Coturnix japonica: one gene and its partners. The protein of the gene in region 5 interacts with the protein of the main gene of each other region in a biochemical or structural test. Links are inferred from orthologs where the notes say so. Each region holds a gene or a part of one and is shown on either strand. Other genes may lie near its edges. The genes, in order: HTRA2, CASP9, HTRA1, UBE2D1, XIAP, HTRA3 and PGAM5.

Region 1 (4,041 bases), on a different chromosome or scaffold from region 5:
TGCTTGAGAATACCAAGCAAATATCATGATGTCAATGTGAGAACCAGACAGCAAGAATCTGCACTAAACAAATTATCACAAACCCCAAGGAACAAAAACAAGGCAGAGTTCTTGGAAACTCTGGAAGTCTTTATCTGTGGCAGATGAGCAAATGGATCTGCCATGGCAGAGGGGTTCACTGCCTCATGCCCAATGGGAGAATCTTCCTATTCTCCAAAGGTTCTTCCTCTTGTTATGTCTGCCCACATGCCCATGTCTTGTTATGTCAGCTATGCCACAGCTTCTTCCCTCTGTCATCACCCTCCTTCTGGCCTCCTTCCCACCCGAGCAGAGAGGCATCCAACTCACTTTTGCGCTGCTCCTCCTTCTGCAGGAACTTCCGCAGCCGGTCTGAGGGGATGGCAAAGGAGATGCCTGATGTCACCTTCATAGTGTTCACCCCAATCACTTCGCCATCCTGCATGGAAAAGGGCAACGTGTTCTCCAACCTGCACCTTTATGGAGCTGTGCAAAACTTAAAGCCTGCGCACCGTCCCCCCCTGGGCAGTCTGACCCTGCTGAGGCCGGGCAGGGATGAGTCCCACCAAGCAGAGCTCTCACCCCACGCTAATTCCTTGATCCCACCCTTTAAGATGCCGAGAGCACACAGTTCCTCCTTCCCTCCTGACAGCTGAGGATACTTGCACAGTGCTCCCACTGAGGGCACACAGCCCCAGGAGAAAAGGCCCACTGGGATACATGCAGGAGAACTTACCAAGTTGACGAGGGGACCACCAGAGTTCCCAAACTGGAACAACAGAGAGAGCAGCAATGAGGCCACAAAAGCAAACCTCAAACACTACCCCACAGTGAGCAGGCAGAGCCCAGGGAACAGGGCTCAGGCTGAGAAACAGCCAGATCACCAACCAGGAGCACCCTCCTCCCAGCCTGCTGTGCCCAGACCTCACAGCACACAGAGCCCTTCCCCAGAGCAGGCAGCGGGACGAAGCTCCAGCCCAGCCTGCGCCCTTACGTCGATAGCGGCGTCCGTCTGGATGTACTCCATGTCGGAGGCGGTCAGGCCCAGCTCCCGGCTGCCGCGCTGCGCGGAGCTGACAATGCCGGACGTGATGGTGTTCTGCAAGGCGAAGGGGCTGCCCATGGCCACCACGAACTCTCCCTGCCGCACCTCAGAGGAGCGGCCGAGGGGCAACGTGGGCAGCGGGTGCTGGAAGAGAGGAACCGGGTAAGCAGAAGGCGGGAGAGGAAGGGAGCCCCTGGGCAAAGTGCCCCGCACCTTAGGCTTGATCCGGATGGTGGCAATGTCTGCGACCTGGTCCACGTCCTGCACCACAGCGTCGTACTGCTCCCCGCTGGCCAGCTTCACCCGCACACGGCGCCGGTTGGCCACCACGTGAGCGTTGGTCACAATGAGCCCATCAGGAGACACCACGAACCCCGAACCGTTCGAGATGGGCACCTCACGGCCTGAGAATGGGTGCCTGCAAGGTGGGCAAAGGTCATGGGAGGACATGGGGGCCCAGAGGGGACCAGTGGGTATGTGTGAGGCCAGGCCAGCGGGCAGCTGCATGGCTCAGCATGGTGGGCTGGACGGCAGCGGGAGACTGTGAGGAGATGCCCGGATGACAGCAGGACATGGGAGCTCCTTCACAGCCCCGCGCTGGGTGTCCATCCCAAGAGTCTGCACAACTGTGTGCGCTATGGGGCAGCAAGCAGCAGGAACCAGAAATCCATGGGAATGGCAAAAGCGTCTCCCCATGAGGACCACAGAGGTGCAGTGGGAAGCACACACTAACAAAGAGCTGCGGTGGACATTGGTGTCTTTGGGACAGATAAGCAGTTCAGGTTATGGAAAGACACAACCTGAACACAGAGCTTTGCTGTGAGGGCCACACGGGGTGAGCTGGTGTCCCTGTGAGTCTATTTGTGACCTTCAAACAGTCAGAGTGGCTCAGGGGGGCTCTAAATTGATGAAAAAAGGCATCAAAGCAACGTGACAACGGGGACGTGAGGACACCGGGGCCCAAGTACCGGCCAGTTTCACCCTCTGCCTTTGGGAACGGCCTGGGGCAAACGCTGCAGGAAAACACTTCCAGGCCCACAGTAACATGGTACCATCTATTGTAAACTGAGGGCTCCCAGCAGCGCCTGCAGTGCCCATGCAGGTGACACTGAGGCCGGTCATAAGGCAGGGTGACCGTAATGCAGGGTGACAATAAGGCAGGGTGACTATAAGGCAGGGTGACCATAGGGCAGGGTGACCGTAAGTCAGGCCGGCCGCGCGGCAGCGGGTGGTGCCGGGCGGTGCCGTCCGTACCTGCCCACGATCTCCACGTAGACCAGGGCGGGCGCCGTCTTCTCCACGACGTCGGCGATGAAGTTGAAGGCGGCGCGGGGCGAACCGGGCGGCGGGGCGGGCGGGGCGGGCACGGCGGCGAGCAGCGCGGGACGGCGGCCTTCCCGGCACCACAGCAGCAGCAGCGCCGCCGTCCCGGCGCCCAGAGCGGCGGCCAGCAGCCGGTGTCCGCCGGGGGGGGCGGGGCAGGACGGCGGGGGCGGCGGCGGCGGGCGGGGGTTGGCGGCGGACACGCACATCGCGCGGCCCCAGCGCGTGGCGACCGGCGGAGCGCGCAGCCACCGGCACAGCGCCGCCATAGCGCCGGAACGCGGGGCAGGACGGGAACTGCGCGCTGAGCAGGAGCGGGACGCGCGGCTGGGTCGGGCTGGTCGGTGCCGCCGGTGCCGCCGGTGCCGCCGCTCCTCCCGCTCCTCCCGCTCCTGCCGCTGCCGGCGCCGCGCCCGCGGGCGGACCAGGCCGCGCTCGTGAGCTCAGGGCGGCGGCGCGGGGCACGCCGGGAAGGCCGCGCTCCTCCCAGAGCGCCCCGCGCGGTGCGGGCGGGCGGCGGAAGATGGCGGCGGGTGGAGCGGGGTGTTGAGCGGGACGGGACGGACGGAGCGCGGCATGGAGCGCAGCGCGGCGCCGGGCCCGGAGCGGCTCTTCGACTCGCAGCGGTGAGAGCCGGGCGCCGGGCCCGCAACGTCCGGAGCCGCCGGGGGGACCCCGCGGGGCGGGACGGGGCGTCCCGGGAGTGGGCGGGAGGAACCGGGCCGGGCGGGGGCTGGGGGCTGAGCGTGGGGCTGAGCGGCCGGGCGGGGGCTGGGGGCTGAGCGTGGGGCTGAGCGGCCGCCCCGACCCCCCCCCGTCCATCCCGACCCCCCCCGTCCATCCCGACCCCCCCCGTCCATCCCGACCCCCCGCCCACCGTTGCCGTTGTCCTCCCGCAGGTTTCCCAGTGACGGGCTCGTGCTGCTGGCGCTGCTGCTGTACGCTCCCGTGGGGCTGTGTCTGCTCGTGCTGCGGCTGTTCATCGGGGTGCACGTCTTCCTGGTCAGCTGCATCCTGCCCGACGGGACGCTGCGACGGTGCGTGCGGGGACGGGCGGGCTCCGCTCATCCCGGGCCCTACGGACGGGCCGCCGTTACCGCGGGGGGTCCCGGGCAGCTCCGGGGCCGTTGTGCGCCCTGCGGTCACGGAACGGCTCTGTTGGAAGGGGCCGGGGCTGTGGGCTGCGCCCGGCTCCGATCGGAAACACACGGGGCTGTTGGTGCTGTTGGTTCTATTGGTGCTGTTGGTGTTGTTGGTTCTATTGGTGCTGTTGTCGCTGTTGTCAGCTCTGGGCCCGGTGCCCCCTGCCCCGTGTTTCCTGCTGCGGTGGCAGCCCTGCAGGCCGCTCTCAGCTGCGGCCCACAAACACTTCCAGTCTGTCGTGTCATTCCCATTTCGTACCGATATCTTTTCCCAACCCCAGTCCCGGGTTCCTGTTTTCTCGGCTCTCTGAGGCAGCTGTGGCTCAGACTGCACATCTGAGGGAGCCCTTTTTCCCTCCTTTAGCCTTATTGTCCGTGTGATGTGCTCAGTGCTGGGGCTGTTTGTGCAGCAGAGCGGTCCCCGTCTCCGTGACGCTGCGGTGCAGGTTTACATTGCCAACCACGTCACACACTTTGATCACAATGTCATCAACCTGCTGACCTCCTGCAACA
Region 2 (4,263 bases), on a different chromosome or scaffold from region 5:
TCACTAGCTGTCTTACTTGAAAGTGCTTAAGCACCATATTTAGCTCCATGTCATGTTATTTGCAGCACGGTTCGTGTGATCCCAAGGAGGAGCTGACTAATGGATTGACCCACTCTGAGCACACTGCCCTGGTTACAGCCACGTCAGCCCCAGCACCAAGGACTGGATGTCACAGCACTGTTCCCAGCTGCAGCAGCTCTGTGCTGTGGGACTTCTTCAGTCTAAGAAGAAGTTTAAGCCACACTAAGACCTTATTTTGGACATTCTGTTCTTTGCCTCGTGAGGGTGAACACTTAAATATCTTCAGCCTTGCTCTGCCTTTTCAGTTCTTAAAGCACAAGCTCCTTGCAAGCAGAATCTCTGAAATGACTGGCAGCAAAGAACCCCAATACTATGACAAATAAACTGGAAAAGAAGAGGATTTAGAATACTAACCAGTCTGTGGTCGCTCTTGTCAACAGCTGAACCTACAACACACCACAGAGAAATGGGATTTAGCTCTCAGCACTCAACAATGAAATGTTACACCTATTCTTCGCAGAACTAACATCAACCTTGCCCTGTCATCTGTCACACGTGAGTGACACCCACCCCTTCTCACCCCATCACCCACCAGAAGCAGCATTTGGCTCTTATCTCTTAAACCACAAAGAGTCTCAGCAGTTAGAGCCTGGACCTCAAGCACACGCTCATCCCCACCTGGGACACCATACACTATTTAGTTGGGGTCACCTCCCAGCTAGCATGCATCTGAACTGGTCTGCAATTCACAGTGCAAGGACAAGCAAGGAACTGACCAACGAGCTGTCAGACCTCACTCAGGGCTGCAGGACAACCCTTACCCTGGGCTGGTGCTGGAGGCATCCGAAATCTCTCACTCTCAGCTTGGACTGGGATGGACAAGTATTCCGTAGTTCTCACACCTGTAATGGCATGGGAAAGTCATCTCTCTCCTTCTGCCCCTTCTAGTTTTACATTGGAATTAAGCAGCTCTTGTTCCCCTTAAGGACCACAGCTTGCAGCTACACCACTGCAAGGGCAGATCAAAACCACTTCTGTTTTTCTTTTATCTGAGTTCAGTGAGGTTTCTTATGACAGCTGTATGAGCCACGCCAACAGATAAAGGGCAGAACAGGAGTAGCAAAGCCACACTGAAACCTGTTTGCAGTGCAGCAGTACAAAGGCTACATGTGAAAAGCAGAAGGAAGCCGCCAGTGCACAACTGGGGCTTCAACACTTCTGCTACCAGAAAGCACAACATCCTCCTAACAAAGTCACACAGTCACCACTATGACCTGTGCCAGAGGATAACAAAACCAGGACTTCACAGCCTACTTTCTACAGCAAGAAGGAACCCAGCTACTACACTCCACCATGCAAAGAACCACGTTCTCACTACTTACTTTTGTCACGCCTTTCTCCAGGCAGCTCCAGCTGCACAGGCCTCAGATCCACAGGTGGGGACATGGGGCTTCCGCACCCCTCATCCAGCATGTCAGCCAGGTCACCGTGCCCGGTGTCCCTCAGGATGGAGAGGAATATAGGGAAGGCCTGCTTCCCACGGCTCTCCAGGTCAATGACCAGCTGTCGTGCTTGTTCCCTTCGGGTGCCGGCGCTCTGCAGAGGAAGGAAGGCAGGATAAACCTCAGTGATGCTCCCTGAGCCCTTCAGCTCTGATGCTTCCACTGCAGCATTGGCCACAGATAGAGACAGGAGGGAACGTGAACTGCTGGTTCTGGGGGATAAGTGGACCAGGGGATACACCCAGCTTATCAACATGGGGATAAGAGAAACCTTCTCAATCAGTTTAACAGTATCACGGAGGTGGAAACAAAGGGAAGGGCACCAGGCAGATGGACAGTGGAGGAGACAGGGGTATCACAGAATCACAGAATTGTAGGGGTTGGAAGGGAGCTCTAGAGATCATGGAGTCCAACCCCCCTGCCAAAGCAGGCTCCCTACACCACATCACACAGCTTGGCATCCAGGCGGGTCTTAAATATCTCCAGAGAAGGAGACTCCACCACCTCCCTGTGCAGCCTGTTCCAGTGCTCCGTCACCCTCACTGTAAAGAAGTTCTTATTAAGGAACTTCCTATGCTGTATTTCATCCCATTACCCCTAGTCCTGTCCCCACTCATTACTGAAAAGAGACCAGCCTCACCACTATGGCTCCCACACCTCAGGTATTTATAAACCTGAATCAAGTCCACTCTCAGCCTTCTTTTCTCAAGGCTAAACAGACCCAGTTCCCTAAGTCTCTCCTCATAGGGTACCCTGGGCCATGTCATGGGTATAGTGGGGACACAGGACTCCATGGGATACATATGACACTGGGGTTCTGTCACCAGGCTGAGGTAATACAGGGACTAGGTATTACAGGTAATAGGGACACAGGGACCCCCCAGGTGCTGTCACAGGGCTGAGATGATGCTGGATCCCTCAAGGTTTGGGATTGGGGGCACACGGGTCCTTTCAAAGCCTGACAAAGGCCTTGTGGGGGCAGGGGACACCCTTGGGCCTGTAAATGAGCTGATACCCCAAACCCCGTCACTGAGGGGACGAGAGGTTCTGAGGGGACACAAGGCCCCACCACCGACCCGAGAGGCCTCGGTACCCCCAGCCCACCTGCATGTCCTCCACCATCGCGCTGGTGAACACCCCTCGTTCCCGCAGAGGCCCCCATAGCACGTCAGGCCGCAGTCCCTCCACCAGCCGCAGCCGACCCCGCCGCAGTGCGCTCCGCCGGGCCTCCTCCATGGCCGCCACCGGAGGCGGAAGCGTCGCTATGGTGTCGGCGGGCGGGCGGGCCGGATGTGCTGGGTGTGGGGTTGAGGCCGGGGCCGGTGCCCGCCATGGAGCTGGGCCGGGTGGGCCCGGCCGGGATGTTGGTGCTGTTATTGCTGCTGATCACGGCACAGGCCGCACCGGAGCGGGATCCGTACCGAGTGCTGGGTGTGGGCCGCTCCTCCAGCCAGGCCGACATTAAGAAGGCGTACAAGCGGTTGGCACGGCAGTGGTACGGAGCGGGCCGGGCTGGGGGGTGTGGGGGGGTACGGCAATGGGTAACGGCTCCACCTTCCAACTGCAGGCACCCGGACAAGAACAAGGACCCGGGAGCTGAGGATAAGTTCATCCAGATCAGCAAGGCCTACGAGGTGAGAGGGCACTGCAGGGGGCTGGGAGGGGGATGAGGGCATTGCTGTGGGAGCTGGGGTGTATTAGGATGGGGAAGGGGAGGCTCAGGGTAGAGCTCATTGCTCCCTATAACCCCTGAATAGAGGATGTGGTGAGCTGGGGTTGGCCTCTGCTCACAGGTGACAGCAATAGGATGGTGCAGGTTGGATGCTGGTACTTACTGCATTCATCCCAAGGGCATTGGAATCTCCTTCTCTGGAGATATTCAAGACCCGCCTGGACGCCGAGCTGTGTGATGTGGTGTAGGGAACCTGCTTTGGCAGGGGGGTTGGACTCGATGATCTCTAGAGGTCCCTTCCAACCCCTACAGTTCTGTGATTCTGTGATTGCAGTGGGTTTGTATTCCCACATCCATTCCTTAAGGGATAACCACTGTCACCCTTTCACTCTTTGCACTGGGTTACCTTTCTTCACTCATTTCCTTCCTAGATTCTCTCCAACGAGGAAAAAAGAGCAAACTTTGATCGCTACGGAGATGCCGGAGAGAGCCAAGGCTATTCCCAACACCAGCAGCGCCAGTTCCACCACTTCCATGAGGGTTTCTACTTTGATGAGTCCTTCTTCCACTTCCCCTTCAATTCAGAGAGACGTGACACCTCAGACGAGAAGTATTTGCTCCATTTTTCACATTACATCAATGAAATCGTGCCAGATAGTTTCAAGAAGCCGTACCTCATTAAAATCACCTCGGATTGGTGCTTCAGCTGCATCCACATCGAGCCCGTGTGGAAGGAAGTTGCTCAGGAACTGGAGGCACTGGGTAAGGATGAAGCATTGGGGCTGAGCATGAATTTCCTTGCAGAATGAGGTTCTGGTCCATAGAAGGACTCAGAGTTTAGGTCACAAGGTTAACACTCTCTTGTGTGTTAGTAAGAACTAAATCAGTGAGGCTAAGCATTATAAACAAGGCTTTCCTTCTGACTCACAGTTTCAGCTCCTGGTGGTTTCACTGTTGTTCACCCCCAAGGTTAAAAGAGGAAGATGCCTTTCCTCCTTAATTTTAGTCCAGCAGCCATGGTAATAAATAACCACATGATTGAAGGCTGGTGTGTAAATCCTGTATGGC
Region 3 (3,500 bases), on a different chromosome or scaffold from region 5:
TAAACCTATTAGAAGTTATTCTGTTGGCCAATACTAATCCGCTGAAGAAGCAGAACGTTGGTCAGAAGTCTAACGTTTCCTGTACCAGCACAGAGAGAATATAAGCAGTCCAATGCTGTTAAAAGAAAACATGAAATCCAGCTCATGTTTCTGGTTAGGGATCAATTTCTTCAGGAATTACTGTTAACATAACATCTTCGTTACCCCTGCGAACAACCATGTTCAAAGTACTGTCCTTTTTAATAATGTCACTGACATCAGAGGCTGAAGTTATCGACTGTCCATTGATGCTTATAATCACATCATTGTCCTTCAGGCCACCACTGAAAAGACAAAGGAACAACGAATTACTGTTAGGGCCATTTCATTACCCTCACTGTACTTTTCAGCCGAACCAAAAGGCACTGAGTATTTCCATTTTCACACCTGACAGTAGTCAGACAGACAGAGCAGGCCCCCAAAAAGCAAACAGAATTTATGTAGCTGTGCACATACTGCTTGGCAGCCATTCATATTTTAACCATACATCGATCTAACTCAGTCACCAGGAGCGCTTGGGTGCCTATAGAAGCCAGACACAACCACCAGACACCAACCAAATGGGGCTGGCCCAATGTGGCTCCTCTGCCCAGGGCTGCCCAGACTCCTTCTGGGACCAACACAAACGGGGTGCTGAGGGATACCATCAACCACAGCGTCTTGCCTGGTCTTGCACAACAATCTGGCTCCAAGTCATGGAAATATTAACCAAGAAACCAGATCAGACATGATTCAGCCCTTCAGCATAATCCGTTTTCACAAAACCACAGACCAGTCATAGGCTTCTTCCGCCCGCAGAAAATGCTTTACATGAGTGCCTCTTGTAAGCAGGATGCCTCGGCCAACGTTGTCAGCCTGCTAACAAATCTGCTTGCCTACTTTTAGCTGTGGCTTTCAGCATTTTCCTCAGAGAATCCATCCCTGGGTGTCTCACACTGGTAGGCTCCTGCTCTTGACTCAAATCCCCATGTAAGCTGCTGCAGACTCCCCTGAATATCTGCCCAAATGGAGCATCTCGAGTTTGCCTTCACATTGCAAGGCTTTGTTACCTCACTGTTTCCTACCTAACGTCCTGCTCTCACCCTCTGCTAACTACTGTTATCACTGCAATGTTTTTTCCTGCTCCTTCAATTTGGAACTGCTCATCAGGGCAATTAACATGTGTTATTATTACATTACATCTCTTATTGACAAACAGGGATCATCCAACCATCCCCTTGTGATCAAATATAGTGACACCGAGAAGCTTTCTGCCTAAGTGTTTGGTGCTACATTTGCTTCTTCGCTGCCACAAATTTATGTCTTTCTTAAATGACCTCCAGTTGCAGAAAATGGACAATGTTTCCTATTTCCTGCTCTGGATCACTGAGCAATTTTGTATTAACCAAACTCTAGAAGGTAGGCGCTGCCAACATGAGACAGCCAGCCCAGTCCCGCTGACTGGAGGCCTTCAGCAAGGCACCCCGTGAAGCATGGCACTGAGCAGTGCCTTTGAGGTTCTGAGCAGTGCTGAGTAACACTGAGGAAAATATCAGCTGGCCAAACCCAAAAGCTCTTCCCAGCAGCGTTGCTCCTGGAAAGGTCTCACGTAGAGCAACATTCCATGCCAAAAGATCTCACCTCAAACTGAGGTGCATCAGGATTTGCCATTAGCAAGCACAGAAGAAGCCAGCCACATCCTTGCAAAGCAGGAGCAAAATGTCCCCCCTTGCCCTCACACAGCAGTGACCTGCAGGGTTGCAGGAACACGTACAAGCCATCAGCTCCAACTCATCCCTGGCATTGGTACATCAGAGCTCTTGGAAGCGATGGCTGAGAAAAATGATTTTCATGCTCCCCGACTCCTTGCCCTTTCAGCTGGGAACTCTGACAGGGCTTTGCAGCAACGTGCTGGCACATCTACATTATTGCTGATCAGGGAATGAACGAAAACCACAAACTGATTTCAAGCTGACGACCTAATAGCTATCAGATGGTCGCAATTCTGTTCATTTAGCTTAACCAGGATAGCCAGCTAAGCATGGAACATTCCCTCCATCAGACAGTGGCAGTGGTTTTGAGAGTAAAGCGCTCCAACTTACGCTTCAGCTGGTGTTTCTGGAATGACATCAATAACGTAGGCCCCAGAGACAACGTCAGGAAAGTCTTTATGGCGATCTTTCAGCTCTCTAGCTTTGCTGGAAAATGAAGAAGCATCCATAAGAATATTGTGCCAACATGGGGGAGAAAAGCATGGATTCTTACTCAGTTAACATTTAACAGCTGGGATATTTTACACATGTTGATGTGACACCTCACAATTCATTTTAACCCTTAAAAGTATATCAAGAATTATCACACTTTTCCATGCAAATGGCTTTTACTGCTTATTTCTGGCAGTAGAAAAGACCAGCTTTTTAAAAACTTGGACTTTAGTTCTAGAAGATTCAGAACACCTAAAAAAGCCTCCAGTTTTCAGTGCTTTGTCATGCTGCTGATCCTTAGGCATAGTGAAATGCAAACTGATGGCTTGCTCTACTAGGGAAAGTAGTAACAGTCCATCTATCGTAGCCTAGCACACACACAGAGTGTTTGTTGATCATTCCTATTAACATAACCTGCTCTCTTCTGGTTTGAGTTTGAATAAGCAAAGTCTACCAGAAAGCTTCATTTCACATTAAGTGATCTTAATCAAAACCATTTCCTACAAATGAAGCTATGCGTGGAGCTGCTGCGATCCTTGACCATGGTGGCAGGGCAGGATAGACAGCAGCAGCAGCAGTTGAACCAGGACAAATTAACAATTGCTACATCTTCTCTTATAAAGTGCTAAAGGAATAAAATCAAAAGCCAGGGAGCTGTTGGACAACAGCTCATATGGAAGTCCATAGAGGAGTCCAACTGTGTAATGGACACAGCAACAGAAGGTAAGAGAAACTGGGAAGAGTTGGCATCAGCAATTTTCTGCCCCTTCCTGTAGACTGCTAGCTTGATCCAAGCCCATGTGAAATGATCTCAGTTCAGCAAGATAAGAACTATTTTCCCACTTTTACTTACCTAGGAGTTAGAGACATCATTCGTATGCCAATGTATTTCTTTTTGGTTATAGCCTTTCCTACAAAAAGTAAAACAGGCCTTCATCAGTGGCTCTTATCCAACAGGGAAGAGAGCCTTGTGGGTTGTTGGCTCACTATATTAAATCTATCTAACAGCAGTTAGATAGAGGTACGTTACCTTTAGCTTGTCTGTCATGGGATTCAGTTAGGAATTTCTTGATTTTATCAGATGGAATAGCAAATGAGATCCCAGCCGTAACCTTTAGTGTGTTAATTCCAATGACTTCACCATCCTGGGGAAAATGAGGAATTGCTGTTAAAGGTGAAATGCACATCACAAAGTGAAAGGGATTATTTCTTCTGAGCAATCACAAAGACAAAGGTGCAAAACAATTCTGTAGCTGGGCTTGTTTTCTGAAGTTCCTT
Region 4 (2,426 bases), on a different chromosome or scaffold from region 5:
CACAAGGTGACCCCAAGGGGCTGGGGAGGATCGGAGACCGGTTGTACGTAAGGTACGAGGCTGGACGGAACCGAGAGCGGAAGAAACGAGCTCTGCCAGCAGGCAATGTGAGCGCAGAGCCCCCTGCAACAAAGCGCTGCTTTCATAGCAACGCGAAACATTCCATCAGTGAGCAGAGCTGCTCCCCATGGAGCTCAGCTCACAGTTCATCGGTACAGCACAGATGTAACGCCAGCAGGATCCTGCAGGCAGAACCAAAGCTCCTACCGTGCCCCCTTCCCTCCTGCCTTGAAGTGGCCACCCAACATTGATTACAGTGAAGCACACTTAGTACATGCATTGAAAAAGGGAAAGAAACAAGCCAACAGCCAGGACAGCTAGTAGAAAATCCATTTTTATTTATATGGAAAAGGCTACATTTAGATTTGTAAAAGGTCTGCGTGTTATGCTGCCCACGTGTCAAAAATCAGTCGTGAAACGCAACAAAAAGGTTACATATCTTTTCTACACAGCAGTGCAATTAGTTCACATTGCAATAAAATTAAGTCAAGTATGCAACAGAATCAAAACCATGTGTCTGTCCGTAATCATACCAAGAATTACAGTGCAAAGAGCATTTTAGGTTTTAAGAAGTCTGCAGTCAGTCTTTAGAACACCCCAGAGCGGGCAGGATATCCCTTCATCACCAGCAGTTGTATGTTGTCAATACCGTGCACGAGAAAGTCAGTCTAGAATGAAATGACTTACACCGTAAATAAAATATATTTAGTCTATACAATTAAAAATACAAATTATAGATGTGAACTAGCAAAAGGAAATCCAAACACACCTATGAAACAGATCGTATATCTTAAAGACACACATACAGTATCATCACTTAAAAACGGCTACTTCTCTCCAGCAAAAATAATTTGGCTGCTTTACAACTGCATTAAGGATCTCGCAGTCTGAAGATGCAGATGTCCAACTCTTAAAAACCATAATAAATGTCTTCTGCAAAGCATACAAAGAGGATAAATACTCTCGTCACAGTCATAAGGTTATTTTTGGAAGTTTTCCCTTGCTCCAGAAACACACTTACATGGGTGGAAAAAGAAAACATTCAAGGGGCTCGATGGGACGTTCCAACAGTCGGCTGTGCTCCGTTTCCTTCTAAGTTTGAAAAAAACACACTAGAATTTACAGTACTCTGTGGTGTATGAAAAAGTCTTCACAAGTTTACATTGCATATTTCTGAGTCCATTCTCTCGCGTGTCTGTTGTATCTGTATGTGCGGAAAGAAGGCATTACAGTGAAGAGCTGTTAGATCTTGATGAAGACGTGCAATAATCAATAGGCTACTTGCATACATTGCAAGAGATCTTCAGTAACTCAGCACTAAAGATAACCCACAGGTACCCAAATGTATTCTACAAGGTAAGAAATATTTGTTGATATCACGGAACTCCCGCAGGCAGGTTATTTCACTCTTTGTAAACTGGACTGGATCTGTTTGTAAAACTTTTGCCTCACAAGGATTATTTTCTCCATAGAACCTTTAGAAACCACACAGTCTAGTCTGCACTATACAGGGCTTGAGCTTCTTGCCACCTGCAATTGCTATGAACTCTTAAGAAATGGATGAATCACTTGACTGGCTATCTACAGATGTCACTACTTCAAGCTGCAGTGCTTGAAGAAGCCACCCTGTGAACACAGGGCTCTGAAACACAACTCCAGGAGTGCCAAAGCCCTGGATTTGCAAGCGACCTTTACATCGGTTATCTGATCTTGTGGGGGTTCAGCCAGGCAGGCAGCCAGATCACAGCACTTCAAAACCCTCCATAGGAGCGTTGCACAAATAGCAAGCCTCAATAACATCATACAACATACAACAGTATGATGGTTTTATGCAAAAAAATATCTAACAGTTGTGTATGCCTACAGATTCCTGCTATTTTACTAATAGATGCTGTCAATATTTCAATAGCCAATACTCTACCATTAGATATCTCTAAAGGGATTTTTCAAGGAAATGGACAGGCTGCTGTAGCCAATCACCATCTGCAAGTACCACACAAATACATCTGTGTTATACTCACTTTTCCTTGTCTGACTTGTAGATCTGTGCAATATCCGGTACTAGAGGATCATCTGGATTAGGATCACAAAGTAAGGAGCATATGGACAATAAAACTAAATAAAAGAGACACCAAATTAAGCAAGTTAGTTCACTTGGTTTCTGCAGTCCTTTATGTAGACCAGTACACAAAATGAAGAAAGGAAGACTGGAAAGGAAATACACAAGTATGAAGCTTTCAGACAGCAGTCCTGCTCAGGAATATAGAATACAGCTCTTAGCAATGACTTAGACAACAGCTGCATCTTAAAGTTCATCTTAGAGGAATGCCAGTCAGAACCATTTATTTCTTGTTAAAATCTGGTGT
Region 5 (3,500 bases):
TTGCTTAGACAGCTTCTCCCAAGCTCTGTACAAATAGATTCAGTTGAAACATTTCCAACATCCCGGCCCAGGACAAAAAAGCATTTGGGAAAATGCCTCTTGTGCTCAGACCAAGCTCGATCACCAGGTTCCCAGTTTTTCAGTTTTCCACCGCAACAAAAACATGCAACTTGATCACCGACACCTGTATAGTAGAGTCCTGCACCAGCTAACTCCTTCGGAGTCAATAGGCCATAGGGGGGCCAATTGTGAAAGGACTTCAGCCTGGCTTCTTCGCTGCACATAGCAGGGTTTTTAGGATACAAAGTGTCAGACATGTCCACAACCTGCCTGGTTCTCAACAGGTAATCTGCCTCCACATCAGACAAGTCCTCCAGAGCAGAGGAGAGGGCTGAATTGCTGGAGCCGTTTTCAGTTCTATGCCGGTGGCTCTGCGCAAGAGGACGTACATCATTTTCCAAAAAAGCAGACTCAGTAATAAATCTGCAATCTGGGGAAAGGTTTTTGTGTCTGTCAATCGCTGAATCCCCAGGCTCCCATCCTTCAATAGTCGCATGGCAACTGAAGCACTTGACTTTATCACCTTCTCCAGTATAAACAAAGCCAGCTCGAGCTAGTGCTGATGCTGGAACCGGACAATCGCGGGGAAACTCCACAAAGGTTCCTAGCCGGGAGTGTTCCTGGGACCACTCCTGGTCACTGTCAGTGGCTGGGGCAGCACCAGGTTCAGAGTTATCCGGGCCATTACACGTCATCTCCTCATACGTAGGGCTCTTCCTTCAAATTCCCTAAACAAAGCATATACATGTTATCTTCAGACAGAAGGACACATCCACAAGCATGGAAATGAGCTAAATTCGACTAGCTGTGTTTTATGCATTAACGTCTCCTCCTGTTCCCTCCCTCCTTACCTGCTCCCACCCCTCCAGAGTCAAACCAAAATAAAGATAAAGCATAAGGAGTGGCAGGAAGATTGTGAAGTATTACAGGAATATGTTACAAAACATGACTAATAAGAATTTGCCTGTAACATACACAGATTTACATGTTCACATATTTAAGAGAATGCTTTATTTTTTGGAAGGGAATACTGCAAGAATAATAAAATTGAGGAAGAACTAAAAGCTGACAAAAGGCTTCTGAGATAAGAACATGGAATTATAGAATTAAATAATCTAATAGAATAAAACATCTGCCAAATTTTGTCTGGATGCAGTAATTCCTTTACAAGAAACACCTGAATGTTTTTTTTGACTGGTCAGCTCTGCTTAGACAGGATTGAACAGAAGGAAAATCAGGGTGGAGGAAAGAGGCTTGTTTGAATGCACTCATGCCAAAGCAATGGTACAAGATCAACAAGTAGCAGCGGGATGAGAGAAAATACTATTTTTTCAGAGGTTACAAAGTATATTCCCCCAAATCAAACACCTAATTTATGGAACTCAACAGGCCTTAAGTATTGATGTTGATGATTTCAAAACAAACCACCCGTAACTACCACACGGGAAAAGGGAAAGAAATTAAATGAGGTACAAGTAAGCATTACAAATTAGAACTATTTCCTGGTATACATTGCCAAATCCCCAACAGAGAAATACCCTAATTCCTCTGGAGAGGACTCCAAAGTGCTCTACCAAATGTAGTGAGAGACTCAGGCAAGAGATTAACCTGGCTGGTTTTGTCTGTAACAATCTTCAGCTGGAGGATGTGGTAAATCCTCCAAGCTACATTCACGGTTCCCCAATTCAAAAAGCGCTGCCCAGGTGCTGAGCAGAACAGAGCGAGACAGAGCAACCCTTTTCATCTCAAAAGCAGTTGCAGACTTCAAGAGTTGTGGCCTCTCGCTCTACACAACATGAAGCCTACAAAATATTTAGAAAAAAAAAAAATCACAGAAGTTTCCCATATTTTAACTGTAACGTTACAAAGACAGATGTTAACCCTGATAATGCACGCTTAGCTTTACAATCAGCAATGTCAAATCCAACAGATACCTTTCATCTATCCTTATTTTTATTCCCAAAAACATGTACCAGACTTATAGCACAGCCTAGAAACAAGCCACAGTTTAAGCTCAGCTCTGAGTACACACTAACTCTTTTAGTGCCTCACAAAAGCAGTGCTTTGGTAGCTACACCCACAGAACTGTGCAAGTGAACAACTCTCCTTACCCTACAACAAAAATGACACACAGTCTGGGTAAAATAGCGCGACATTTCTTTTAAAAATCCCCCAAATACTCCTATGAATAATCTTCCCAATAAGCCAACCAACTGAAGGTTGATTCCTCTTTTAGCAGTACCATGCAAATAAATACAGGGCATGCCAAGACACAGTCACTGGTCAAAGGACATTTCCCTCTAGAGTTGCTGAGCCAACAGTGATTTCAGAGCACAGAGAGTGATCGGGAGAGTCCTAAAGCAAAACTAGCAGCCATCACTGGCAATTTTCACTGGAAATCTTCATATCCCCCAAGTAATTTCTGTTGCAAAACTGTTGTTTTGCTCTCTCCATTTGAGACAAAAATGCTTCAAGTAAGCACCTACCTAACTTGTTCTGGGTAGGACATCATTAATGAAAAGCAATTGGACAGATCAGAGTTTCAAAGCGTGTGATTCCTGCCTTGGTGCAGGTTGCCTGCAGGCCACAGCCCCCACCTGATGGGTGCACGTATCCCTTTTGGCACAGAGGGCCCTTTCCCCAGAAGAGGAACCATCCAACCTTTGGGTGCCAAATTCAAGAATGGGTGCTGTGCTTCTTCAGCTGAATGACGTTCTGGTGCCTGAGAGTAAAGCTTTGATGCACCTGGCTTCCCCCGGTGTTTACAGCAGCTCTTCCGCTGTCCTGAATGCATCTGAGCCAGCACACAGCAGCCTCTCTCACCCAGGTAGCCACTACAGCCTTCTGTTGCATGTGCTAATCAGGAATGCACCTTATACAGTAAGAGGGATAAAGCAAATGAGAAACCTTCAATCAGTTATTACCTGTGCCTCACACAACTTGACAGATACCCTGCCTCATTGACAGGGTAATGGCCATCAAAGGTCTCAGCGCAATGCTATAGCAAGCACCCACACCCAAACCCAACCCTTTATGACAGCTCCATTCACTCAATGAGAAGCATTTATCTGAGCCAGTTTAAAAAAAGAAAGATTATGGCGCACTTTGCCACAATGACAAAGCAAACGAGCCAGCAGGAAGGTTGAGAAAACACATCAGCGGCATCATGCTTACTGCATGCAGCTGTGGGCACAAGGCTGGTTTTGAGCACCAACTGCAATTAGTTCTGCAAGTCGGTTCGTAACTAATGTAATAACATCTGTAATAACACTGCAGAATGATTGTAGCTCAACAAATTCAGAAACAGCAAATAAATTATATTGACTGACCCACAGGTCTGAATTGTATGCTTGCTTTGACCTTCAAAGGGTAAAACTCAGTAATTACATGAAGTAACATGAAAGCTGTAGGTATTAATATAGTGTGTGTATATATATATA
Region 6 (4,144 bases), about 59 Mb from region 5:
CTTCATGTGCAATTACAAAAGAAGCTAACTAATAAGAATATCAGTAGAGCTATGAAAAATTCTGTATTCTAACAGCAATAACACAGAAACTGCTATTTGTTCATAATCTGAAATACTTTCGCCGAGCTCTTCCTTGTAAATGTTATCACAAATAATGAAAACATTCATGTTTTATACACACAGAGCCCTTGTTTCCTTCTGATCTATGTTTCAGATTGAACACTTCATTTCAGGAATCTCCTGTCTCCATAAAGAGCAAGTTGGGATCAAAATATAGACTTCTTTTTCATATTTTATGTATTGCTTTGCAAAAAAAACAGCCAGTCTTACCTTTGCTGAGATGCAGCAAAATTTATGCCTTTTTCACCTTGAGCCACAAAATATCTTTAGCTGTCACCTATAGCTTTCTTTAAGAGGGACTGTAGCTCTCTGCAGAATCCAGTCTCGAATCCCGTCCTTATAACATGAGAAACAAAAATACCCTCAGCTTTCTGTAGCTGAAGATTCTCCCTACTCTACTCAAGGTCCTTAACTAGAAGACAGTACTAACGTGTCTCCACTTCTCCCTTCAAATGACTGTGAAACCAGGTGCAGCTGGTCAGTAAATTAAAGCCATCCACTGCCTACTTACACCCAGTCAGTGGGATGGTATCAAGAGGAAGCCCAAGGCACTACCTTTCAGAGCTGAATGAGTAGCATCTCTTATGTGATAAGGGAACTATGGGCAGAAGTGAAGGGTGAGTCATATGCAGCAAGGAAGGTTTGCCATGCTCGTTTGGTCTTTGGATGAGTTATGACCGAGGTCTCTCTTCTTAAGTTACTGTAAGGCTTCTGGAAGAAAGGGACAGCCTCTTTAGCTGTGAATGTTGCAATAGGACAAGGGGAAATGGTTACAAATTAAAAGAGAGGAGATCTAGATCATATATAAGGAAAGTTTTTGGCAGTGTGGTGAGGCACTGGAATAGACTGGCCAGAGAGGTGGTGGATGTCCCATCCCTGGAGACACTCAAGGCTGGATGGGGCTCTGAGCAACCTGATTGAACTGTAGCTGTTCCTGTTCATTACAGGGGACTATATGAACATTCTGAGTCTCTTCCAACTCAAATGATTCTACGTGGGGAGACAGAATAGTTTTCTACCCCTCTTTTCCCATAAGTTACAACTTCAGATATACACCTTCACACACGCAAACATATATATATCGTTATTTTAGAGCATCCTCTTGCCTCACACCTCCAGACGGCTGCAGCGGGGACCTCGGCCCTTCCCCCTGGGCAGCCAGTTCTCCAGGCGTCCCCGCCCGAGGGGAACGTGCGGTCCCTCCCTGCCCGGGGTGGGGCCTGGCGGTGGCGGCGCTCCGACGGCCGCTGCTGGAGGCGGCGGCGGCCCCGGGCTCGTCCCACATATACCCTCATCGCTTCGCTCGTCCCAGCTTGTCCTCATTGCCTCCTGCGGCCGCTGGGCCATGGCCGGGCCCCTCAGCGCTGCCAGCTAGTCCCGCAGCTTCGTATTCCAGCCTCCGCCTTCCCGTCTGTTGCTGTCTGCAAGGACTTCCCCACCCGTGTGCGCACTATTCGACTTTCCCGTTCCTCCCTGCACCGTGACTGCACTTTTCCCCTTTCTTCCTCGCTCCCCTCCTGCCGCCGAGGATGCGGCTGTCGCTGCTCAGCTCGCTTCTCGTTCTCTGCATCAGCCGCGGCTTCGCCGAGCTCCCGGCAGCCCGAGCCAAGTGCCCGACCCGCTGCGATGTCTCCAAGTGCCCCAGCCCCAGCTGCCCCAGCGGATACGTCCCCGACCGCTGCAACTGCTGCCTCATCTGCGCCGCGGGAGAAGGGGACTCGTGTGGCCGCAAGGAAGACCCTCCCTGCGGGGACAGCCTGGACTGCCGCTACCCCATGGGCAAGCGCTTCGCCAAGGGGGTCTGCCAGTGCAAGCTCAGCGCTCAGGTGTGCGGCAGCGACGGCCTCACCTACGATAACATCTGCCAGCTGAAGGCTGTGAGCCGCAAGGCGCTGCAGCACGGGCTGCCCGCTGTCGCCCAGGTGCAGAAGGGAGCCTGTGAATCGGGTAGGAGCATGGCGGGGCCTGATGCGGGGCGAGGGCTTCATGCAGGGGTGGGAAGAGGTGAGGGTTGGGGTGGTTAGGAGAGCTGGGGGTTCCCCCAGGGCCAAACAGTTCACCCTGTTGCTGGTAATCGCTGTGGTGTGGATCAGGGGCACGTGAAGGGGATCAGGTTCTCTGTGAGCAGCACAGATCCCTCTTCTTGATCCTGTGGTGGAAGCTGGGAAGGTTGTACGGTGGTGGCATGGCTGTGGATACCACAGGCACAGCTGTCGGATCAGTGCAGCACTGACACCCTTCACAGTCATCATCTAGGCAGTGCCACAAGTTTGCCCTGAAACCATTCACATCACTCTTGTTTTGGAGCCATAAAGTCATTAAGGTTGGAAAGACCACTAAGTTCATATAGACCAAACATGGACCTATGCCTGCAACGTCTCTAGACTATGTCCCTCATTGTCAAGTCTGCTCTTTTTTTTTATGAGAACTTCCATGGATGGTGACTCCTCCACGTCCCTGGGCTGTCCTTTCTAATACTTTACTCTTCCTGAGAAGTTTTTCTAACAGCAAACCTGAACCTCCCATGGTACATCTCAAAGCCAGTATCTCTTCTCTTATTGCTTTTACCTGGGAAAAGAGGCTGACCCCCACCTCACTACAAGCTCTTTTCAGGGAGTAGTACAGAACAATAAGGTCTCTCCTGAACCTCCTCTTCTCCAGACTGAACCATCCCAGGGTTGGCACTCGCTATTGATGTGTTTCAATGACATTACATGCCTGGGCTGCCCTGCAGAGCCATTATGGCACATCCTACACAGAGCACAGCCTGCAAGTGTGCTCTGAGACCTTCCCTGGAGATGTTAGCAGATGTTAATTGTATTTACCAGATGAGTATCTCTAGCAAGAAGTGCAGGTTAAGGCTGTATTGCTCAAACTATGCAGAAAAAGCACCAGATAGAAGACTATGTTTCACATGTTCTGTTTTATTTTCCTCTGACAGGAAATGCTGTAGCTGTAGTCTTGAGGAATTGAAAGGGGAATGGATGCCTACGAATTTTACTTATGGTTTAAAATCAGATCAGATAGTCCTTTGTTTATCAGTAGGATACTACGGCCTCTGCTTGTCCTAGGCTATTGTAATAATCTGTGATAACCTCAGGCTGGATGGTATAACTTTAAAAAGCTTAGTAACCACCTACATTGCTTTTTTTATTTTATTTTTTTGTCAGTGTTACTAAAATTGGTCACTTCGTGGAAGTGTTAACATTTCTAGTTTATTTTCACACACTTCCTTGTATATTATTTTAAGATTGTACTTATACATCTTTTCGCATACAGTTCCTGGAAAGAAGAATCATATGTGTAGCAGGGTTTTAAATCATGTATTAGTGCATGTATCTTTTCGGAGCCCAGAATTACTCGGATGCTAACCTGGAGATGTGATGATCAGTCTCTCCTGTATTTTGCAGTTATAAATTGCTGTTTGTTTCTTTGTGTTCCCCATAAGCATCCATCAGCTTTAGTACTCCAACTAGTTGGTTGGAACTGATCCACTCGACATATCTAGAGTGTTTACCCAAAATGAGTGAACTAGCCTGCATCTAGGGGCTAACATACTGTCAGGGGGTTGGCGTGTATGACATTCTCTTTAAGAAATCCTCCTGAGCCTACTGTTTAAAAGGCTTAGGAATTCAGAGTGTTGAGGTAGAAGTAATGCTTTTTTTTCAAGCAACTTTTTTAGTATTCACTTTATTTTGGCTTTATGTTTTGTTCTGGTTAACCTCAGCTTAGTTGAAGCATCTGGTTCTCTGTGAAGTTCTAATTTTTTTTTACTCAGTTCTACAGCTGTACAAACTGAAGCTCAGAGAATCTAAGTGTCTTGCCCAAGGTCATATTGAGCTGGTGGCTGAGCCAGGAATAGAAGTCAGTTATGGTACTTCTTTTCGTTGTATTTTTTTTCTTTTTTTTTCTTTAACAACAACATGCAATGTCTGTAATGAAAGGTTTTAGAAGAAAATCAACAGTTTAAAATTACTGTCGAGTGTCTCTATTTTCCCCACTGGTGAAAGAAATCTGGCCTCAG
Region 7 (4,136 bases), on a different chromosome or scaffold from region 5:
CCTAGACTAGAGTCAAGATCTGAATCAGATCCAGCATGGATTTATGTAGGCTTCCTATCATGCCAGAATCTCCCCAGATTTGATGTTGTGTTTCACCAATGCGGTGTTTGTGTGGCTGTGTTAAACTCTTTGGTGGAGCAGTCAGATACGATCAGAAAGCCAATAGAGCAGCTTCCAAATCTCTTTCTTCATTTTCTTTTTAAACTTGTCAAGTCATACAAACCAATGATGCTTAAAAGCAGTATTTCTTGCCCTCTGAAACAACTATTAAATGAGCTCAAGTCGACTTTGTTTTATAACCCAATAGTTTAAACTCGTGTATCATTTAAATGTTGCTGGGCCTGAAGCAAGCCAGGATGACATCAGTGTTTCCTTCCCCAGGGCCAGCAGTGAGCCCGCAGTGTCTGGATGCATTTGGAGCCCATGACCTCATGTTTCCTTGCCTTTCTCTCCTCTTTTGCTAATAACTTTACAGCTGCATTTTGCATCATGCGAGATGAGCACGATGGGCGCACTGCGGGTCTCAGCAGCACTAACAGGATGATGCCATTAGCGGGTACCATCAGTCGTTGTTATCCTCTTAGGGGGATTTTCTGCTCACGGATGAAACTCAACACAATGAAATGGGATTAGAATTGTAGTCATATGAGTATTAAAACAAACACACAAACTGAGAGCGTGGAGTGAAGCAGCCAGTGATGCTGTGCAGGGCGCTGTGTTTGAGCTGTGGGTGCTGCTGCAACAGCTCGTTGTTCTCAACCTGGTTGACTTCAGGCTTTACAGAAGGGTAAACTTAATAACACTGAGCTGGCACCGAGGTACAGGTTTGGGATTTCAGTTCGTGCAATTGGGCTGTTTTATTTTGTTGTATTTTTGAGGAATTGCTGTGTTTGTCCCATCCGGCCTCAGCCCAGCCGCAGGTTGGGACCACATGCATGGGCAGCTCTGTCGGCTGCTGGGGAAAGGGGAGCTCTGTGGAGGTTTGGATGTTCTGTGTATCAGCTTGCTTTCTTCTCATCTCTTGATGTTAAAGCAGGCATATAGTAATGAGAGCACAGTGAGCTGCAGCTCCACGGTGTGGGCATGGGAGGAGCGCCGGGCTGTGTGTTATGGGGGCTGTGTGTTACGGGATGTGTGTTACGGGCTGTGTATTAAGGGATGTGTGTTATGGCTGCTGGGGTTGTGCAGCGTTATTGAGATGCTGGATGTGTCTGTGCAGGGACGGGCGGGCTTAGGGCCTATCTGCGGGCAGCAGAGAGCTGCCGTGTGCCGTTCCGTTCCGTTCCGTTCCGTTCCGTTCCGTGCAATATTGCCCCTCTCCGCTCTCCGTCCGGGGCGGAGCTGCTCGTTGCGGGCGGCTCGTGGTTGTGAGGCACGAGGCCGGTCCCCCGCCATGTCGTTCCGCCGCGCCCTGGCGTTGGCCGCCTGCGGGTTGGCCGGGGGCTCCGTGCTGTTCTCGGCCGTGGCCGTGAGCAAACAGCCGGCACGGGGGGACGCCGAGCCGCGACCAGGGGGGGGATCCGCCGCCGCTCCCCCCGCCCCCGCAGCGCCGCAGGGTTTGTTGCTGCTGCCGCCCGCCGCCTCCTGCCCGCCGGGACCGGGTTGGATCGAGCGGCCCGCGGGGAGCGGCGGGTTCTGGGACAGCAACTGGGACCGGTGAGAGGGGACGGGGGGCGACACGGGACGGGGGGGCGGGCGGTACCGAGCGGCCGGGACGGAGCCTGTTGAATGGGGCGGAGCGGGACCGACAGCTCCGCGATACGGGAACAACCGACATGTTGGAGGCACCGACGGGACCGAGCCCAGCACCGGGCGGCACCGCCATGCGATGCCATGAGATGCCATGCAATGTGATGCGATGATATGATGCGATGCGATGTGATGATGTGATACGATGTGATGCGGCCTGTGCTCTGCTGGGGGGCTGTGGATTCATTTAGCGGTGGCTGTTGCCAAATTGCTTGGCTCTATCGCTCAGTTATAAGCCATAATTAATTGATGTTATCGGTAGCTCCAGCGCAGTGGTTTCGATCCGTTTTGCAAAACAATTGGTTAATTATGTTAATTAAACAGCCCGTTTCGGTGCTTATAACTGCAGCGGGGTTCTTTATCTGTGCAATTCCTGTCTCTGGGTTCTCCACTCACCCATCCAGGCGTGAACCGCTGGCTCTCATCAACCTCAAGAAGAAGAACGAGGAGACAGGGGAGGAGGAGCTGAGCTCGCGGCTGGAGCACTGCAGGGCCAGGGCCACCCGCCACATCTTCCTCATCCGCCACTCGCAGTACAACCTGGACGGCCGCGCCGATAAGGACCGGACACTGACCCCGCTGGGTAGGTGGGCTGGGGTAGTGATGATCAAGCCCAGCCATGGATGAGAGCTGCTGGCCTGGCAGCACAGGTCGGCAGCACAGCTCTTCTGTGGGAGAAAACACTGGATTTGATAAAAAACATAAAGGAATTTCCAGCTGAGCAGGTCTTCCTGCTGGCCAATGCAGCTGCCCTTGGCTGTGGTTTGTCTTAAACCAAGCTCCATAATGACCTTTGAGGGTTCCCATTATCCAATGGGTCTGGTTTGTTAATTTGCTGATTTACTCTCTTAAGGTCGAGAACAGGCCGAGCTGACGGGACACAGACTGGCAAGTTTGGGGTTAAAGTTTAATCAGATCATCCACTCCTCCATGACCAGAGCAACCGAAACAACTGAAATTATAAGCAAATACCTCCCAGGTGAGTGGCTTCTGTTGATTTCTCAGTATCTCCTGATCCTTCAGACTGCTTCCAGTGGGATTCTGAGCTAGTCCTTGGCTTACAGTGTAGCTGAGATGTTAGTAATCAACTTCTAGACCAGTGTGAAGGAAGCTGGCTGCCCTCCTTCTGCTTGTCGCCAGTTTCTCTTTAAAACATGAAGGGGGAGCTGCCCCTCAGTAAGATGCTGGCACCTCTGTGTGCGGGACAGCTCTGCTGGCTGCTCTTCCCTTAAGTGTTGTGTAAAGCAAGGACTGCTGCAGGTCAGCAGGGAAGAAATAAGTGTTGGCAGCAGAGTTGTGGGTCTGTAGGAACATGTGGGGTAACAGCTCCTTTCTGAAAGCATGTTTCATATTTTAGGTGTCAAAAAAATTAGCACTGATCTGCTGAGAGAGGGAGCACCCATAGAACCGGACCCTCCCGTCTCCCACTGGAAACCAGACGCTGTGGTAACCTTTGTTCCATGTTTTTCCCTTTCTATGTTTTGGAGCATACTTTATATGGGTGATGGTAATGAATATATATGGTTATATAATGGTGAGCTGATGCTTTTCATCATAGACCTTAGATAAATACTTACTTTTTACTCCTCCGTAAGCGTACAGAACCCCTAAAATAATTAAGAATCCCTGTGTGTTAATTGAGCCTCAAGTGTGCATCTTTAACAGATGCAGCCAACGTGCAAACGCTGCTCTGAGCTGTGTTTAAATCTGAACTCTGTGCCATTAGCAGTATTACGAAGATGGAGCTCGAATTGAGGCTGCGTTTCGAAACTTCATTCATCGGGCTGACGTGAAGCAGGAGGAGGACAGCTATGAGATCTTTGTCTGCCACGCCAACGTGATCCGCTATATTGTCTGCAGGTGTGTGTTGGACTGCGTGCTGTGAGGTGGAGTTGTGCTGGATTAGCATTGCTGTATTTATTGCACTGTTTGAGCTGGGGGGTGTTTGTGTGCCGTGTTAGAGATGGCTGAAGGTGGGCGCTCACAGCAGGAGCAGCTGGTCCTGCAGCTTCACCACAGGGTGAATTTGGTGATACAGGGTTTGAAAATTAGAACGCTTTCAAGTGAAATCGTTGAGGCTTGATGCCCTTTTGTACATCTGTCTGTGAGATGATGTGTTTTGAGCAGGACAGATGTGATTAAGCCTTAATCTGATCAACAGCTACAACAATTTCAGTGCATTTTTTTTAGCTGAGTCTGCCCTCTCTGCAGAGCTCTGTGAAATTGCTGTACTTAAAGCTATTGATCAGGTTCACGGAGTATTGTTTGCTGTGCAAAAAGGGATTGTCCTTCTGCTCCCCAGGCTTCTGAAATACCTGTGTGCTTTTCCTCATTGCTTTCTTCCATCTTCTTTTCACCTTACCCTCTATATCTGCCATTTCAGGCTA

Evidence for each region.
Region 1: the proteins of XIAP (region 5) and HTRA2 form a complex in vitro, tested with the Homo sapiens proteins (10 studies listed by BioGRID and IntAct, with this or other methods). The link is inferred for Coturnix japonica from reciprocal best matches to the Homo sapiens genes XIAP and HTRA2.
Region 2: the proteins of XIAP (region 5) and CASP9 form a complex in vitro, tested with the Homo sapiens proteins (12 studies listed by BioGRID and IntAct, with this or other methods). The link is inferred for Coturnix japonica from reciprocal best matches to the Homo sapiens genes XIAP and CASP9.
Region 3: the proteins of XIAP (region 5) and HTRA1 form a complex in vitro, tested with the Homo sapiens proteins (2 studies listed by BioGRID and IntAct, with this or other methods). The link is inferred for Coturnix japonica from reciprocal best matches to the Homo sapiens genes XIAP and HTRA1.
Region 4: the proteins of XIAP (region 5) and UBE2D1 form a complex in vitro, tested with the Homo sapiens proteins (8 studies listed by BioGRID and IntAct). The link is inferred for Coturnix japonica from reciprocal best matches to the Homo sapiens genes XIAP and UBE2D1.
Region 6: of the proteins of XIAP (region 5) and HTRA3, one has a biochemical effect on the other in vitro, tested with the Homo sapiens proteins (3 studies listed by BioGRID and IntAct, with this or other methods). The link is inferred for Coturnix japonica from reciprocal best matches to the Homo sapiens genes XIAP and HTRA3.
Region 7: the proteins of XIAP (region 5) and PGAM5 form a complex in vitro, tested with the Homo sapiens proteins (2 studies listed by BioGRID, with this or other methods). The link is inferred for Coturnix japonica from reciprocal best matches to the Homo sapiens genes XIAP and PGAM5.

The regions. Positions count from the first base shown.
Region 1 is NW_015439533.1:471,450-475,490, reverse strand, and holds the start of HTRA2 (serine protease HTRA2, mitochondrial), read right to left. Parts: upstream 2,801-4,041; 5' UTR 2,656-2,800; coding exon 2,318-2,655; intron 1,482-2,317; coding exon 1,013-1,481; intron 788-1,012; coding exon 755-787; intron 458-754; coding exon 349-457; intron 1-348. Other genes in the region: AUP1 (ancient ubiquitous protein 1), read left to right, coding at 2,963-3,012, 3,286-3,423, 3,893-4,041.
Region 2 is NC_029536.1:4,283,036-4,287,298, reverse strand, and holds the start of CASP9 (caspase-9), read right to left. Parts: upstream 2,801-4,263; 5' UTR 2,760-2,800; coding exon 2,628-2,759; intron 1,618-2,627; coding exon 1,404-1,617; intron 924-1,403; coding exon 843-923; intron 468-842; coding exon 436-467; intron 1-435. Other genes in the region: DNAJC16 (dnaJ homolog subfamily C member 16), read left to right, coding at 2,855-3,018, 3,091-3,157, 3,627-3,957. UniProt on the Homo sapiens protein: Involved in the activation cascade of caspases responsible for apoptosis execution. Binding of caspase-9 to Apaf-1 leads to activation of the protease which then cleaves and activates effector caspases caspase-3 (CASP3) or caspase-7 (CASP7).
Region 3 is NC_029521.1:27,882,962-27,886,461, reverse strand, and holds part of HTRA1 (serine protease HTRA1), read right to left. Parts: intron 3,368-3,500; coding exon 3,253-3,367; intron 3,134-3,252; coding exon 3,076-3,133; intron 2,217-3,075; coding exon 2,121-2,216; intron 324-2,120; coding exon 155-323; 3' UTR 1-154. UniProt on the Homo sapiens protein: Serine protease with a variety of targets, including extracellular matrix proteins such as fibronectin. HTRA1-generated fibronectin fragments further induce synovial cells to up-regulate MMP1 and MMP3 production.
Region 4 is NC_029521.1:5,293,576-5,296,001, reverse strand, and holds the end of UBE2D1 (ubiquitin-conjugating enzyme E2 D1), read right to left. Parts: intron 2,176-2,426; coding exon 2,082-2,175; intron 1,265-2,081; coding exon 1,219-1,264; 3' UTR 501-1,218; downstream 1-500.
Region 5 is NC_029519.1:14,635,339-14,638,838, forward strand, and holds part of XIAP (E3 ubiquitin-protein ligase XIAP), read right to left. Parts: intron 2,969-3,500; exon of another isoform or gene 2,658-2,968; intron 789-2,657; 5' UTR 756-788; coding exon 1-755.
Region 6 is NC_029519.1:73,404,434-73,408,577, forward strand, and holds the start of HTRA3 (serine protease HTRA3), read left to right. Parts: upstream 1-1,344; 5' UTR 1,345-1,649; coding exon 1,650-2,067; intron 2,068-4,144. UniProt on the Homo sapiens protein: Serine protease that cleaves beta-casein/CSN2 as well as several extracellular matrix (ECM) proteoglycans such as decorin/DCN, biglycan/BGN and fibronectin/FN1.
Region 7 is NC_029530.1:1,103,835-1,107,970, forward strand, and holds the start of PGAM5 (serine/threonine-protein phosphatase PGAM5, mitochondrial), read left to right. Parts: upstream 1-1,336; 5' UTR 1,337-1,393; coding exon 1,394-1,656; intron 1,657-2,153; coding exon 2,154-2,332; intron 2,333-2,602; coding exon 2,603-2,728; intron 2,729-3,106; coding exon 3,107-3,195; intron 3,196-3,475; coding exon 3,476-3,609; intron 3,610-4,136. UniProt on the Homo sapiens protein: Mitochondrial serine/threonine phosphatase that dephosphorylates various substrates and thus plays a role in different biological processes including cellular senescence or mitophagy. Modulates cellular senescence by regulating mitochondrial dynamics.